Linked DNA regions of Anolis sagrei. The protein of the gene in region 1 interacts with the protein of each later gene in a biochemical or structural test. Links are inferred from orthologs where the notes say so. Each region holds a gene or a part of one and is shown on either strand. Other genes may lie near its edges. The genes, in order: TMPO and LMNB1.

The links.
Region 2: the proteins of TMPO (region 1) and LMNB1 form a complex in vitro, tested with the Homo sapiens proteins (2 studies listed by BioGRID). The link is inferred for Anolis sagrei from reciprocal best matches to the Homo sapiens genes TMPO and LMNB1.

The regions. Positions count from the first base shown.
Region 1 is NC_090025.1:156,776,763-156,784,110, reverse strand, and holds the start of TMPO (thymopoietin), read right to left. Parts: upstream 3,266-7,348; 5' UTR 3,081-3,265; coding exon 2,817-3,080; intron 1-2,816. UniProt on the Homo sapiens protein: May help direct the assembly of the nuclear lamina and thereby help maintain the structural organization of the nuclear envelope. Possible receptor for attachment of lamin filaments to the inner nuclear membrane.
Region 2 is NC_090022.1:237,883,633-237,890,926, forward strand, and holds the start of LMNB1 (lamin-B1), read right to left. Parts: upstream 3,193-7,294; 5' UTR 2,443-3,192; coding exon 2,078-2,442; intron 1-2,077. UniProt on the Homo sapiens protein: Lamins are intermediate filament proteins that assemble into a filamentous meshwork, and which constitute the major components of the nuclear lamina, a fibrous layer on the nucleoplasmic side of the inner nuclear membrane.

The DNA.
Region 1 (7,348 bases):
ACACGTAAAACAAGCGGGTTTGACAACTTTCAAATCCTGAAAAGACATACAGATAGCTTATTCTGGGAGGGACAATGCTTGCAACCAAGTACTTTGTAACTAAGTAAATTATGATTCAATATGATACACAACAAAGGAAAGTGTTACTGTTTAGCAAGAAAAACAAGTACCTTCCTTCCATTTCATTTACTCAAAGTAAATCAAAATAATGTACCTTGCAGCAACAATAAAAACAGTATACCAAAGAAAACTGAAAACCATATTGTGCCTTTTAAATTTAGAAGTATTTCAAATTGATTTTTTTCATGCCAGGAACGACTTGAGAAACAGCAAGACGCTTCTGGTGTGAGAGAATTGGGCATCTGCAAGGACGTTGCCCAGGGGACGCCTGAATATTTGGTGTTTTATCATCCTTGCGGGAGGCATCACTCAGCATGGGGAGCTGGAGCTGATAAAGGGAGCTCAACCTGCTCTCTCTGGATTCGAACTGCTGACCTATTGGTCAACAGTCCTGCCAGCACAAGGTTTTAACCCAGTGGTTCTCAACCTGTGGGTCCCCAGATGTTTTGGCCTCCAACTCCCAGAAATCCTAACAGCTGGTAAACCAGCTGTGGTTTCTGGGAGTTGAAGGCCAAAACCACTGGGGGCTCCTTCAGATGGATTGAAACATAATTTAAGCGTGTTTTAAAGGAGTTATATAGAGACAGGATGCCATTTATGCACCCATAGAGAGAACAGCAAAAGAGGAGCTTGAAAGAAGTAGGTATGTTGTTGTGCATCCTCAATCACTTCCCAATTATTCCTAGGGCTGTGAGTGTGTGACTTGCTCAAGGTCACTCAGTGGGTTTCTAAAAAGGCGCAGGCAGTCGAAACTGGCTTCCAGAGTTGCTCACAGCACTACAGCAAGGTACTGGAAGCAATCTCCACTCCTGCCTAACAGGGAATGCATCACACTGCAGAAAAAATTGAGAGCACTTTAACTGCTATGGAATCCTGGGAGTTGCCGTTTGGTGAGGTCCCCACTCTTGGGCTGAGAAAGATAAAGCTATTGTAAAACTACAATCTCCATTATTTCATAACATTGAGCCACTCTACAGCAAGCATGCCCTAGTACTGATCAGGCATGGGCAAACTTTGGCTGGAATTGTGGGAGTTGGAAGTCCAAAACACCTGGAGGGTTAAAGTGTGCCCATGCCTGGTGTTGATGCACTTGGTGTTTCAGATCCGCAACGCGAGCCGCCTCCTGACAGGCTTTCCCCAGCAGCGCAAGGATCCAAGGCGAGCCTGTCTCCCAGGCGGAGGGCCAAAGGATTTCCTAGGGCTGAGAGTGTGTGATTCGCTTAAGGTCACCTGGTGGGTTTATAAAGCAGAGGAGACAAAGTCTGGCCTCCAGAATTACTCACAGTACAATAACAGGGTACTTGGAAGCAATCCCCACTCCTGACAAATAAGGAGTGCATCACACTGCAGAAAAAATGCAATTTGAGACCACTTTAACTGCTATGGAATCCTGGGAGTTGCCATTTGGTGAGGTGCCTACATTCTTGGCCTGAGAAGACTACAAACCTACTGTTTTCATAACACTGAGCCACTCTAAAGCAGGCATGGGCAAACTTTGGTGCTCCGGGTGTTTTGGACTTCAACTCCCACAAATTCTTAACAGCCGGTAGGTAAGCTTTTAGGAATTTGTGGGAGTTTCAGTGCAAAACACCTGGAGGACTGAAGTTTGCCCATGCCTGCTCTATAGTGTGGATCAGGCATGGACAAACTTTGGCTGGAATTGTGGGAGTTGGAAGTAGATTTACTCGGGAGGTCTCCTGAGGCTGGCGAGACTATCGCTCGGGCAGAAGGCCAAGGGCAGCACGCCTTCCTGCAGATTTGCAGAAGTGAAACTGCCTGACGCTGGCTGGCAGGACGCCCACCAAGTTCAACGTTTCTGAGCGGGACTTGTGGACACGCCTGTAAGAGGAGGAGGAGGAGGCAGGCAGCGAGTGGAGGACCCACCATCTTCATTGACCGTTTAATGCTGCTTCAAACACTTATTGAAGAAAGTGGCTTCTGTGTGCACAGGTGGAAACCCTGGGACCAACTTGAGGCCCTGATGCAGATCAGGCATGGGCCAACTTGGGCCTTCCCTCCAGGTGTTTTGGACTTCCATTCCCATCATTCCTAACAGCCTCAGGCCCCTTCTTTTTCCCCCTCAGTCGCTTAAGCGGCTGAGGGGGGAAAAGAAGGGGCGTGAGGCTGTTAGGAATGATGGGAGTGGAAGTCCGGCTTAGGGGAAAAAAGAAGGGGCGTGAGGCTGTTAGGAATGATGGGAGTGGAAGTCCGGCTGAGGGAGAAAAAGAAGGGGCCTGAGGCTGTTAGGAATGATGGGAATGGAAGTCCAAAACACCTGAAGGGAGGGCCCAAGTATGAGCTATCTCGACCTACTAATTTGTGTGTGGCTTCTGATTGGCCAGCCTCAACATTCCAAAGCGGCTGAGGGGGGAAAGGAAGGGGCCTGAGGCTGTTAGGAATGGTGGGAGTTGGAGTACAAAACACCCCAAGTTGGCCCATGTCTGCAATATCCCAAACCGCAGAGGCACACGAAGGGCTTTTCTTCCGCGCGCTTTTGTGGGAGTTTGAAAGGCATTAAACGGTGCCTCCCGAGTGAGGCTGAGGGAGGCCCTTCCTCTTCCCTTGCCTTCCCCTCAAGTGACCAAACATGGCGCCGCCCCCTCTGTGAGAAAAGCGGGAAAACTCCGCCGCCCCCTCAGCGCTTGGGGAAGGAAGGGGGGCTCCGGGGAAAGCGGGAGGTGGGGGTCGCTTCTTACCCGGCCTGCGGAGGCTGCAGCCGCGCCCCCTCCTCCTCCTCCTCTGTTCCTGGCGGCCGGGGCGCGCTCCCGCTCCTCGTCGCTGGAGAAGTCTGGCTGAGCGGGGGGCCCCGGGGCGTTGCGGGCGGTGAGGTGCTGGAGGTAGAGCTGCACATAGACGTCCTTGCGCTGCTCTCCGCCGGGGAGACTCACGTTGTTGGCGATCAGCTCGCTCTTGAGCTTCTCCTTGGTGAGCACCGACGGGTCGCTCAGGAACTCGGGCATCGTCAGGCTCGGAGAGAGAAGGGCCCGCCAACAAAGAGTGCACCCAGGGAGGGAGGGAGGGAGAGACAGGAAGAGAGGAGGGGCGGAAGGAGAGAAAGGAAACCTCGCGAAGGGTCGGCCCCCCTCGCCTAACGCTCACACAGAACACACAACGGACGGCTTCGCCTGCCCGCCAATAACGTGCGCCGCGATTGGCTGCCGCGCGCGAGAAGCGGCCCTGGGATTGGTTGCGTCGCCGAGAGGAGAGCCGCTCGCCTTGTTTGTGTGTGCGCGCGCGCGCACTGGGCCGCGTCACAATCAATCCGTACCTTGCGCGAGCTCTGGTCACGCAGTTTTAAATTCGACTCAGGCGGGAGAGGAAGAGGCGCCCCGGGCAACCACCACCACCACCACCACAACAGCCTCCCTCAAGGCTCCAAAGCGGGAGTGGGTGCTCGGCCGGGGAGGACCCTTTTTCATTGATGTTAAAAGAGGGTTTTTAAGCGCAATTAATCTCTCGCCACAAAGGACAATAACAAAACAAAAGCGCGCTATGGAAGAGACAAAACGCACACGTGTTATGTGAAAAACTCCCGTGGATATTATCCACTTCGCCTAATGCGCACTTCTGAGAGGGAAATCAACCCAGATACAAGTTGAGCAGCCTTTATCCGTACTCCGTCTACATGGATGGCTGACACTTCTGCTTTCTGATGGTTCAGTGAACACAAACCTAACCAAAGCTAAGCTAACCAGACCTAACCCAAGCTAAGCTAACCAAAGCTAACCTAAAACATAACCAAAGCTACGCTAACCTAACCAAAGCTAACCTAACTTAACCAAAGCTAACCTAACAAATTGAGCAGCCTTTATCCGTACTCCGTCTACATGGATGGCTGACACTTCTGCTTTCTTATGGTTCAGTGAACACAAGAATTGTTTCATGCACAAAATTATTTAAAATATGTATAAAATTCATTTGTTCAGTCGTTTCCGACTATTCATGACTTCATGGACCAGCCCATGCCAGAGCTCCCTGTTGGCTGTCACCACCCCCAGCTCCTTCAAGGTCAATCCAGTCACTTCAAGGATACTATCCATCCATCTTGCCCTTGGTCGGCCCCTCTTCCTTTTTCCTTCCATTTTCCCCAGCTTCATTGTCTTCTCTAAGCTTTCCTTCCTTCTCATGATGTGGCCAAAGTACTTCATCTTGGCCTCTACTATTCTTCCCTCCAATGAGCAGTCAGGCTTTATTTCTTGAAGTATGGACTGGTTGGAGCTTCTCGCAGTCTAAGGCACTCTCAGAACTTTTCTCCAACACCACAGTTCAAAAGCATCTATCTTCCTTTGCTCAGCCTTCCTTATGGTCCAGCTCTCACATCCGTAGCTTACTACGGGGAATACCATGGTTTTAACTATGCAGATCTTTGTTGCCAATGTGATGTCACTACTCTTCACTATTTTATCAAGATTGGACATTGCTCTCCTCCCAAGAAGTAAGTGTCTCCTGATTTCCTGGCTGCAGTCTGCGTCTGCAGTAATCTTTGCACCTAGAAATACAAAGTCTGTCACTGCCTCCACATTTTCTTCCTCTATTTCCCAGTTGTCAATCATTCTTGTTGCCATCATCTTGGGTTTTTTTATGTTTAACTGCAACCCAGCTTTTGCACTTTCTTCTTTCACCTTGATTAGAAGGCTCCTCGGCTCCTTCTCGCTTTCGGCTATCAAAGTGGTGTCATCTGCATAATGTATAAAATTACCTTTAGGCTAATGGTTGAACAGAAGCTCTCTGAAGTTTTAGGTCAGTGTTTCTCAACCTTCCTAATGCCACGACCCCTTAATAGAGTTCCTCATGTTGTGGTGATCCCCAACCATAAAATTATTGTCATTGCTACTTCATAACAGAATTCTAAGGGAGGCAACCACAGGATTTCAGATGGGATGCATACTCTGCCTGCTCCAGTGTTTCTCGACCTTCCTAATAGATTTATCTCAACAAAATATACATGTGCTATGACTAAATTGAGATTATCTACTTCTCTTTTTGAAAATATTGACCACTCAAGAGGTTCATTAAGATGCAACCCCTTAATACAGTTCATCTTGTTGTGGTGACCCACAACCACAACATCATTTTAGTTGCAACTTCATAACTACTTTTGCTACTGTTATGAATTGTAATGTAAATATCTGTTATGCAGAATGTATTTTCATTCACTGAACCAAGTTTGACACAAATACCCAGTATGCCCATATTTGAAAACTGGTGGGGTTTGATTTTGTCAGTTGGGAGTTGCAATTGCTGGGATTTATAATTAACCTACAATCAAAGAGCATTCTGAACTCCACCAACAATGGAATGAAACAATCTTGGCACACAGAACTCCTATGACCAACAGAAAATATTGGAAGGATTTGGTGGGCATTGACCTTGAGTTTTGGAATTGTAGTTCACCTACATCCAGAGAGCACTGTGGACTCAAACAATGCTAGACCTGGACCGAACTTGGCACAAATACTCAATATGCCAAAATGTGAACACTAGCGGAGATGGGGAAAAGAGACATTTGGGAGTTGTAGTTGCTGGGTTTTATAGTTCACCTACAATCAAAGAGCATTCTGAACTCCACCAACGATAGAATTGGGACAAACTTCCTCCACAGAACTCCCATGCCTTGAAGAGACTTGCTGGTGCAAGCCTCCCTCCAGCCTCGAACGCTCTCCCTCATCCACAGTGCACACCACGCTGCCATGTGCTGAGAACGCCTGCTTTCCCCTCCCCTGCTTGTAGTCTCAGAAACAGCCCTCCCCTTGGCTGAGAGGCCAGTCAATCACAGGAGAGGGCTTTTGGTGGAAGGATTCCCCGGCTTTTTCTAGAAAGGAAGAAAAGGACAGGCGGAGAGATCTTCAGCCTTCTCTGCCAAAGGGGTTTCTAAGACCATCAGAAATATATGTTTTCTTCCTAAAAAAGAGGACTGGTTGAAGAAAGTTTTGGAGGTAATGAACATGGACAAGTTTACTTACTGGATTACTCCCAACCAAGGACTTCCAAACAAACAAATAAACTGGGGCCTGGTTAAAAACTACTTTAAGCAATTAAATATTGACTTAATATGACTAAAATAATACTCACAAGAAGATTAAAAATTACAGGGATGCTTAGACTGATTTTGCATTTTGCCCGTTCGGAAGGCTAACTATTACAATTCTACAGCCACCGAAGAATAGAAGGAAGTCAAACCATTTATGTAACCTTTTTTCTTACTTTATTTTCTTTTTTTCCTTCTTTAATCATTCTCTTTACCAATTTCTCTCTTTTTCTAAGCTTTTCTATCCAAAAATTGTTCTCACTTTTGATGTTCCATTCTTTACTTACCTATGATATAATTCAATAAAAAGCTTTTTTAAAAAAAAAAAAAAAGAAATATATGTTTTCTGATGGTGTCTTGCAACCCCTCTGAAACCTCCTCACAACCCCCCCAGGGGTCCTGACCTTCAGGTTGAGAAACGCTGCACTACTGAAACAGTACTGGACTGTTTTCTGATAGTCTTTGGCAACCCCCAGGTTGAAAAACACTGCTTTAAGTGCTCTTACTGCCTATTATTGGGAAAACCAGCTGATTCCTTATCCATCTAAAATGCAGACGTGTGCTTTTCACCTTAAGAACAGACAAGCATCTCGAGCCCTGAGGATTACCTGGGAAGGAATCCCACTGGAGCATTGCAGCACACCAAAATACCTGGGAGTCACTCTGGACTGTGCTCTAACCTACAAGAAGCACTGATTGGCTATAAAAAAAGTGGGTGAGAGAAATAATATTATATGAAAGCTGACTGACACAACCTGTGGATCACAACCAGACAGAGTGAAGACATCTGCCCTTGCGCTTTGCTACTCTGCTGATGAATATGCATGCCAGTGTGGAAAACATCTCACCACATTAAAACAGTGGATGTGGCTCTTAATGAGACATGCCGCATTATCACAGTGAAGTGGATGATCTTTTTCCTAGGCTGCAAATCGGCGGGCGCAGGAACAACAAGACAGGCAGTCAGGTTCTTTCAAGAAAGCAGTTTACTTAGAAGTCAAGCAGCTGCCTGGGTCGCCTCCTACGCAACATGGCGCCTGGTGGAAACGATACAGGCCTCAAGCCATGTGGCCTTTTTATACAGTCAAAGGGGTTCGGTTTAGGACCGCCCCGGAACAAAATCATTGGTTCAAAGTTGTGGTGCAGTTTAATAAACATCCAATCATCCCCTGCCACCCAAACATCCAATCACCACCTGCC
Region 2 (7,294 bases), on another chromosome or scaffold:
ATTTGAAACTGGAGAAGCAAGGCAAAATCTTGTGGAGTTTTTTAATGTTGATGTCAGAACAGACTTGCTTTACAGTGAGTCCTTGGTATGTGTTAGAGTTTGGTTCCAGGACCCCTGCATCTACAAAATCCAGTGGCAAAATGAAGTTTGCTTTGGTGAACATTTTCAAAGCATGGATGGGTGAATCTGTGGATATGGAGGGTCAACTGTACTATGGATATTCACAGGCTGCTTCTATGTCTGTTCCTAGATATGTTGCTTCATGTGTCTGATAAAGTAGAATTACTCTAAGCAAGTTGTGCTACCAACTCTTTTCTCTTAGTAAGTGTCCAAGGTGGCACAAGATAATGATATTCCAAGATAGGTCTTTGGAATCAAAGCGTAGTAAGGCCCAGGGTGCAACTACACTGCAGAATTAATGCAGGTAAACACCACTTTCACCACCACGGCTCAATGCTATGAAATCATGGGAAAAGGGTGCTGGTGCCATAACTTTCTATAGCATTGAGTGGTGGAAATTAAAGGGGTGTCAAACTGCATCAGTTCCACAATGTAGCTGCACTCTTAAGAAAGCATGTGCTAGTGTCTAAATTGCTACAGGACACTGATATTTCAGACTAACAGAGCTCTGTCTTTGGAATTAAAGCATATTAATAATCAAACCCGCCCCATGGTAAATGCAACTTTATCAGTTAATAGTGGCATACCCACAATAAGGAGTTACTTATCTAAAGAACAGAAGAGCAAGGGGGAGGGGGTGCACCTCCTTATATGCCTTCCAGGGTGCCCCTTCCCCATTTAGGCAAGTTGCTTTGCAAGAGAGGTGGACCAGATGGGTCAAAAGTGTACTAGGAGAACTGGGGCCCCTTCCACACAGCTGAATTAAATCCCACATTATCTGCTTTGAACTGGGGCCCCTTCCACACACATATTACCCAGAACATTAAGGTAGAAAATCCCACATTATCTGCTTTGAACTGGGGCCCCTTCCACACACGTATTACCCAGAACATTAAGGTAGAAAATCCTACAATATCTGCTTTGAACTGGGTTACCTGAGTCCACACTCAGATAATGTGGGATTTTCTGCCTTGATATTCTGGGATATAAGGCTGTGTCCCCAGTTATCTGAGTTCACACTGCCATATATTCCAGTTCAAAGCAGAAAATGTGGGAATTTAATCTGCAGTGTGGAAGGGGCCTAAAATATATAGCAGTGTGGACTCAGATAACCCAGAGCCCTTCCACACAGACATATAACCCAGAATATCAAAGCAGACAATCCATAATATCTGCTTTGAACTAGGTTATTTTAGAGCCCATGCTGCCATATAATCCAGTTCAATGTGGATTTAATACAAATGTGTGGAAGGGGGCCTCATTTCAAAGCAGATATTGTGGGATTTTCTGCCTTGATATTCTGGGTTATATGGCTTTGTGGAAGGGCCCTGGGGGAGCTCTGTGGGGCTCTTCTACGCAGCCATATAACCCTGGACATCAAGGCAGAAAATCCCACAATATCTGCTTTGAACTGAGTTACTGGAGTCCATACTGCCTTATATTCCAGTTTAAAGCAGAAAATGTGGGGTTTTATTCAGCTGTGTGGAAGAGGGCAGGGTCACAGGTTCCTGCCACGACCCTCCTTTCCAAATATCCCCTCCCACTCTTAGGCGAGTGGATTTACAAGAGAGAGGTGAACATGAGGGGCAACCCTGTAATGGGAAAAGAGGGAGTCCCGTGTCACATGTTCCTGCCATTACCCCCTCCCCACCTCCAAGTGGCTTTGCAAGAGGGATGCCAACAGGGGGTCGAAATCTGTTGTAGGGAAAAGGTGTGGTAATTCTTGGGGGGGGGGGGTCACAAGTTCCTCCCAGGACCCCTTCCCCCTTTTAGGGGGTGGGTTAGCAAGAGGGAGGCGGGCCAAACTTGCAATGGGAAAAGGGGGGGTCTAGTGTCACATGTTCCTGCCATGCTCTCCCCCCCTCCCCCGTCCCAAGGTGCCCCTTCCCCTTCAGGGGTGTGCAAAAGGCAGGGCCAACCCCTTGTCCAACTGGGCCCAATCCCTTGCTGCCCTCACCTTCCGAGGAGCTGGTCGTGCTCGGCGCGGACCTTGCCCAGCTCGATCTGGAGCTTGGCCCTCTCGCGGGCCGTGTCGTCCAAGGCGCGGCGGGCGTCGGCCAGCTCGGCCTCGTAGAGGGACTTGAGGCCGGTGAGCTCCCGCCCGCGCACCTCCTCGCGCTCGGTGACCTGGAGGTGGAGCGCGCTGTTCTCCAGCTCCAGGCTCCGCACCTTGTCAATGTAGACGGCCAGGCGGTCGTTGAGCTCGCGCAGCTCCTCTTTCTCCTGGAGGCGGGAGATGCGCGTGGGGCTCAAGGGGGTGCTGGCCGCGCTGCTCCGGGTCCGCTGCCCCACCGGCGTCGAGGCCATCGCCATCGCCGCCATGGCGGGAAAAGCAAGGCAGGCAGGCGAGAGGAGGAGGAAAAGACAAAGCCCGGGCCGGAAGGGGTTAAGAGCGGCAGCCCACAAAGCCTTCCCGTTACAAAAACCCCCGGTTTGAAAGAAAAACAAAACCCCAATAAAGCACAGGAGCTAGAAATGGAAAAAGAAGACGAGGAGAACGCTAATCAATGCTGAAGGGAGCTAATTGGAGTAGGCTCAATGAATGGGCAAAAAAACTCCACAGAGAAGGCGGGAAACGAAGGGGAAGAATAGGAGGGAGGAGCCAAAACCAATGGGAGAAAATACAAGAAAGCCCTTCTCGGCTCAGGCACAGCCAGAAGGAAAAGGAACACAAATGGAGGGGGCACGAAATCAACGCCGAAGGGAAACAAAAGGAGGGCTGGTGATCTATGAATGGACACGCAGAGAAGGCGGGAAAAGAAAGGGGAAGAATAAGAGGGAGGAGCAAAAAGGACCCAGACGGGGTTACAAAAGAAGCCCGAGAAAGAAAGAAGGAAGGAAGGAAAGGGGGAGCAAAGAGAGAAGCCGAGCTCGCAGGTGGAAGGCGCGGGTTTACTCCCCCGAGCCTGGCGACGACGACGACGACAGCAGCAGCGGCGGCCGCCTCCCGCTCCTCCTCCTCCTCCTGAAGGGCCTTCTGCAAGGGACACAAAACAGGCGGGCTCCGCGAGGAACCAATATGGCCGCCGCCACCGCGCGCTCCAAGCCAGCAAGCCGTCCCCCTTCTCGTCGGCCTTACGTTCGCCCACGCTCACGTGACCGCGCTTCAGCCAATGGGAGGGCGAAGCGCCTTCGGCCTCGCTCTCGAGGGAGGTCTCGACGCTAAATTCAAAACCCGCCGTTTGCAACTGTCAGCGAAGGATTGTGGCGCGCGCGCGCTCGCTCTCTCCCTTTCTCTTCCCCCCTCCCCTCCTCCCACCTAAGCGACCCGGCCCTTTCCTCAGCCCGCGTGAGCGCGCACGAGCACGAGCTTTAACCGTCGTCTCCCCCCCCCCCCCCTTCCCTTCCTCTTGGCTTCTTTCTCCTCAGATGTTTGAAGGCGGGAGGAGGACGAGGAAGGGGTTGCTTCTTGGCCTTTCTGAGGCGGTGGAAAGAACAGCTGCCCTCTTGCTTTTCTTTCTTTCACTTGTCTTTTTTGTTTGTTTGTTTGTTTGAATGGGCACTGCCTGGCTGAGCTCCTCCAGGCTACCCTATTTATTCTACACTGGAATTATGGCATTTTGACACCAGTTTAACTGCTGTAACTCAGGGCCCTTCCACATAACCATATATATAACCCAGAATATCAAGGCAGATGATCCACAATATTTGCTTTGAACCTTAGTGCTGTCCAATCCTGGGAGTTTATTTATTTATTTCAGATATTTGTGCCCCGCCCTTCTCTACCCTGGAAGGGGGACTCAGGGCGGCTTACAGCCGGCAACAATTCAATGCCCCACATATACAACAAATAAACAACAGTTACATAATAAGTTAAAACATTAAAATTCGATTAAAAACCATTTAAGATAGTAGACATTGAATTAGTTGGCATGTCAAGTCCGCTTTCTACGATCAACAACTTAATCAGATGCCTGTCCATAGTCCTTTTTCCATAGCATTATCATCATTTGTATTGTCAGCCTGCTATCCGAATGCCTGGTCCCATAGCCAAGTCTTCAACTTTTTCCTGAAGGAAAGGAGGGAAGTGGTTGACCTAATTTCGCTGGGGAGCAAGTTCCACAGGCGGGGGGGGGGGGGGGGGGGGAGACTGCTGAGAAGGCCCTGCCCCTTGTCCCCACCAAGCGCATTTGCGACGAAGGTGGGATCGAGAGCAGGGACGCCCCGGAAGATCGTAAGTTTCGAGGTGGGAGGTAGGGAGAGATACATTTGGACAAGTAAGCTAGGCTACAACCATACTGGAGTTTTCAAAAGTCTTTAGCCTTCTGTGTCAAAAAGTGCTGGTCCCTCACCAAACTACAAATTCCAGAATCAATCACAATCAACTGAGCCACAGCAGATAAACTCATTGTACTGGATGTTAGGAATTGTAGGTGTTCCAGGCCTGGCAGGCATGTAGCCGGGGGAGGGGGGGCTTGGGGGCTTCAGCCCCGCCCCCCGAAATTCTGATGGTGGTCCACAAGAAGGCCTTACTGGTACATTATTTAAACTGTTACGTTTATTCATATCATCTGATCACCATGCTCAATATATCCCATATGCATGGGGGTATTGGGGTAATGATACAAAAGGTTTGCTAGGGTATACCCTCTTTCACTCAGACTCAACCCCCCCCCTCGAACCAAACTCAGCCCCCCACCCTGAAACAAAATCCTGGCTACGGGCCTGAGACCTGGTATAGATGCACCCTAGGAAAAATGGGCTGGAGAAAAGGGACTAGTTGGTTCTTAGCCTCTGTGCTGTGATCTTGCATGAAAAAAATATTTGAGATTAATTGGGGAGCCTTCCACACAGATCTATATCTCAGAATGTCAAGGCAGAAAATTCCACAATATCTGCTTTGAACTGGATTATCTGAGTCCACACTGCTATATATCCTGGTTCAAAGCATATAATGTGGGATTTTATTCAGTGGAAGGGACCTGAGGGAAATAAGTTGTAGCCTAAGCCCTTATAGACTGAGGGACCTGTCACGACACTCGTGATATTATGCCACTTTGGGCCCTTCCACACAGCCCTATATCCCAGAATATGGAGGCAGAAAATCCCACAATATCTGTTTTGAACTGGGTTATCTGAGGCTCCTTCCACACAACTGAATAAAATCCCACACTTTTTGCTTTGAACTGGAATATATGTAGTGTGAACTCAGATAAGCAGATATTGTGAGATTTTCTGCCCTGATGTTCTGGGTTATATGGCTGTGTGGAAGGGCCCTGAGTTCACTCACACTCAGATAATGTCGGTTTTTCTCCCAAGATATTTTGGGATATAGAGCTGTATGGAAGGGCCCTTTACCTGCCATGGCAACATAAATAGTATGGAATAGTATAACCTCCTGAGTTCAATCATATTCTTAGTCAGGGAAAGTGCTAAAAGGTTTGCAGTCAATGGCCACATCTACTCTGACCATTTGATGCAGTTTCAAAGATAGTGGTTTTGCTGTGCTGATTACACAGGAACTTCTGGAACCAGTTTGAGGCCTGGGTGGTGATTACATAAAGCACAGAACAGTTGCTTTTGATGGGCTTTCTTTTGTGTGTTTTTGTGGAAGTTTGTTGTCTGGCTACCGCAGTTTGAAACTGGCTTCAAAATACATTAAACGCTCAATCTAGATGGGGCAAATGGCAAATGTGCAGCCCAGCCTCTGGTGGCTTGGTCAAGGAAAGCTTGCTACCAGAACTAATTGCACCTCAACAGCAAAGGCCTTTGCTGCAGGCCATGACCCTCAGTCCTCAACCATGAACTGGACAGAAAAGTGTATCTTTTGCTTGTTTGATCCTTAGTATTTGTTCTCATTCCTGCTAAAGTAGCAAAAAATACAGTACATTCTTTATTGAAAAAGAATGCTTAAATAGTAAAAATACAGGAAATTCTTTTGTGCAAAAGTAATTGTTGGCAGCTTTACTTCATGCTAAAGCCCTGTACTAGGGAGTGCCTTTCTCTCCAGAAAGGGTTTCAAGTTCCCTGTTTATCCTATCTTCTACTGAAGGAGGGGTTAACCCTTTACTGCTTACTTCCTGCCTGCTGACTACAAGAAACCTCAAGGCAAATCCCACTTTCTCAATCTGACATTATACTTGCTGCTTCCTGTCAGACACAGATAGGTGCTCCAAATTCTATCAAGTCCCCTTGCTACTTAACAGTTGACTTAACAGTAACCCTATAAATTAAGAGACCTTCAGTGGATTAATTTGTAGCAGAGATTTTCTAGACTGAATCAATCCAGCAGTAGGAGAGGGTGCATTTACATGGTAGAATGAATGCAGTTTGACACCACTTTAATTGCCATGGTTCAATGCTATGGAATCATGGGACTTGGGACTTGACGAGGCACTAACACTTTCCAGAGAAGGCTAAAGATCTTGTAAAACTCCAACTACCATGCATTATTTGTGTGCTATGTTTTGAAGAACATCTTCCTAAAGTAAACAAATGGCCAACATTTTTGGGGGGGGGGGGGCATCCCTTCACAATTCCGCCTAGTAATTTTACTGGTCAAAGGTAATAAGAAAAAAATGTTTTCAAGTAAAAAATTTGCTAGCTCATACATTGTTTTGCAAAATAAACTAACACAGATGTCATATTTCCACTTTCTTAAATCTGAGCACTTAATTGGAACATCATGCAAATTAATTTGCATTCTAAATCAAGCCTATTAAAATTGGGTTTTTCTCTCACACACTATACTTCACAGTTCATACAATTTCTTATAGTTAAGACTGACCAGAGAGAGCCAGTAATGCTTAAATTATTGGACTTGGATGAGGTAAACCCATATTAAAATCTCTTTGTCATGGAATTGACTATGCAACTGTCAGATATCTCTCTCAACAAATCTACTTAACAGAATTGGGGGGATTAGAAAGGAAAGAGAAACTACATAAAGTGTGTGTGTACAAAGGTGCAACACAAATAAAGGAACAACATTTTCATAATGCACATTTTCCATGCTATTCTCATAAAGACACTATTTTTAGATACTTCATATTTTCTTCATACTTGTTTTGATCCATATCTCAATAAACCTGCAGATTCCCATCAAGCATCTACCTCAATAAGCTTCTATCTACCTTTTCTCCAGTTCTTTCTTTCCTCGGAGTACCATTCTCATCGAGCCCAAAAGAGCCCCCCTCCCAGCCAAAACAACTGATTTGAACCATGTTGACCTGTA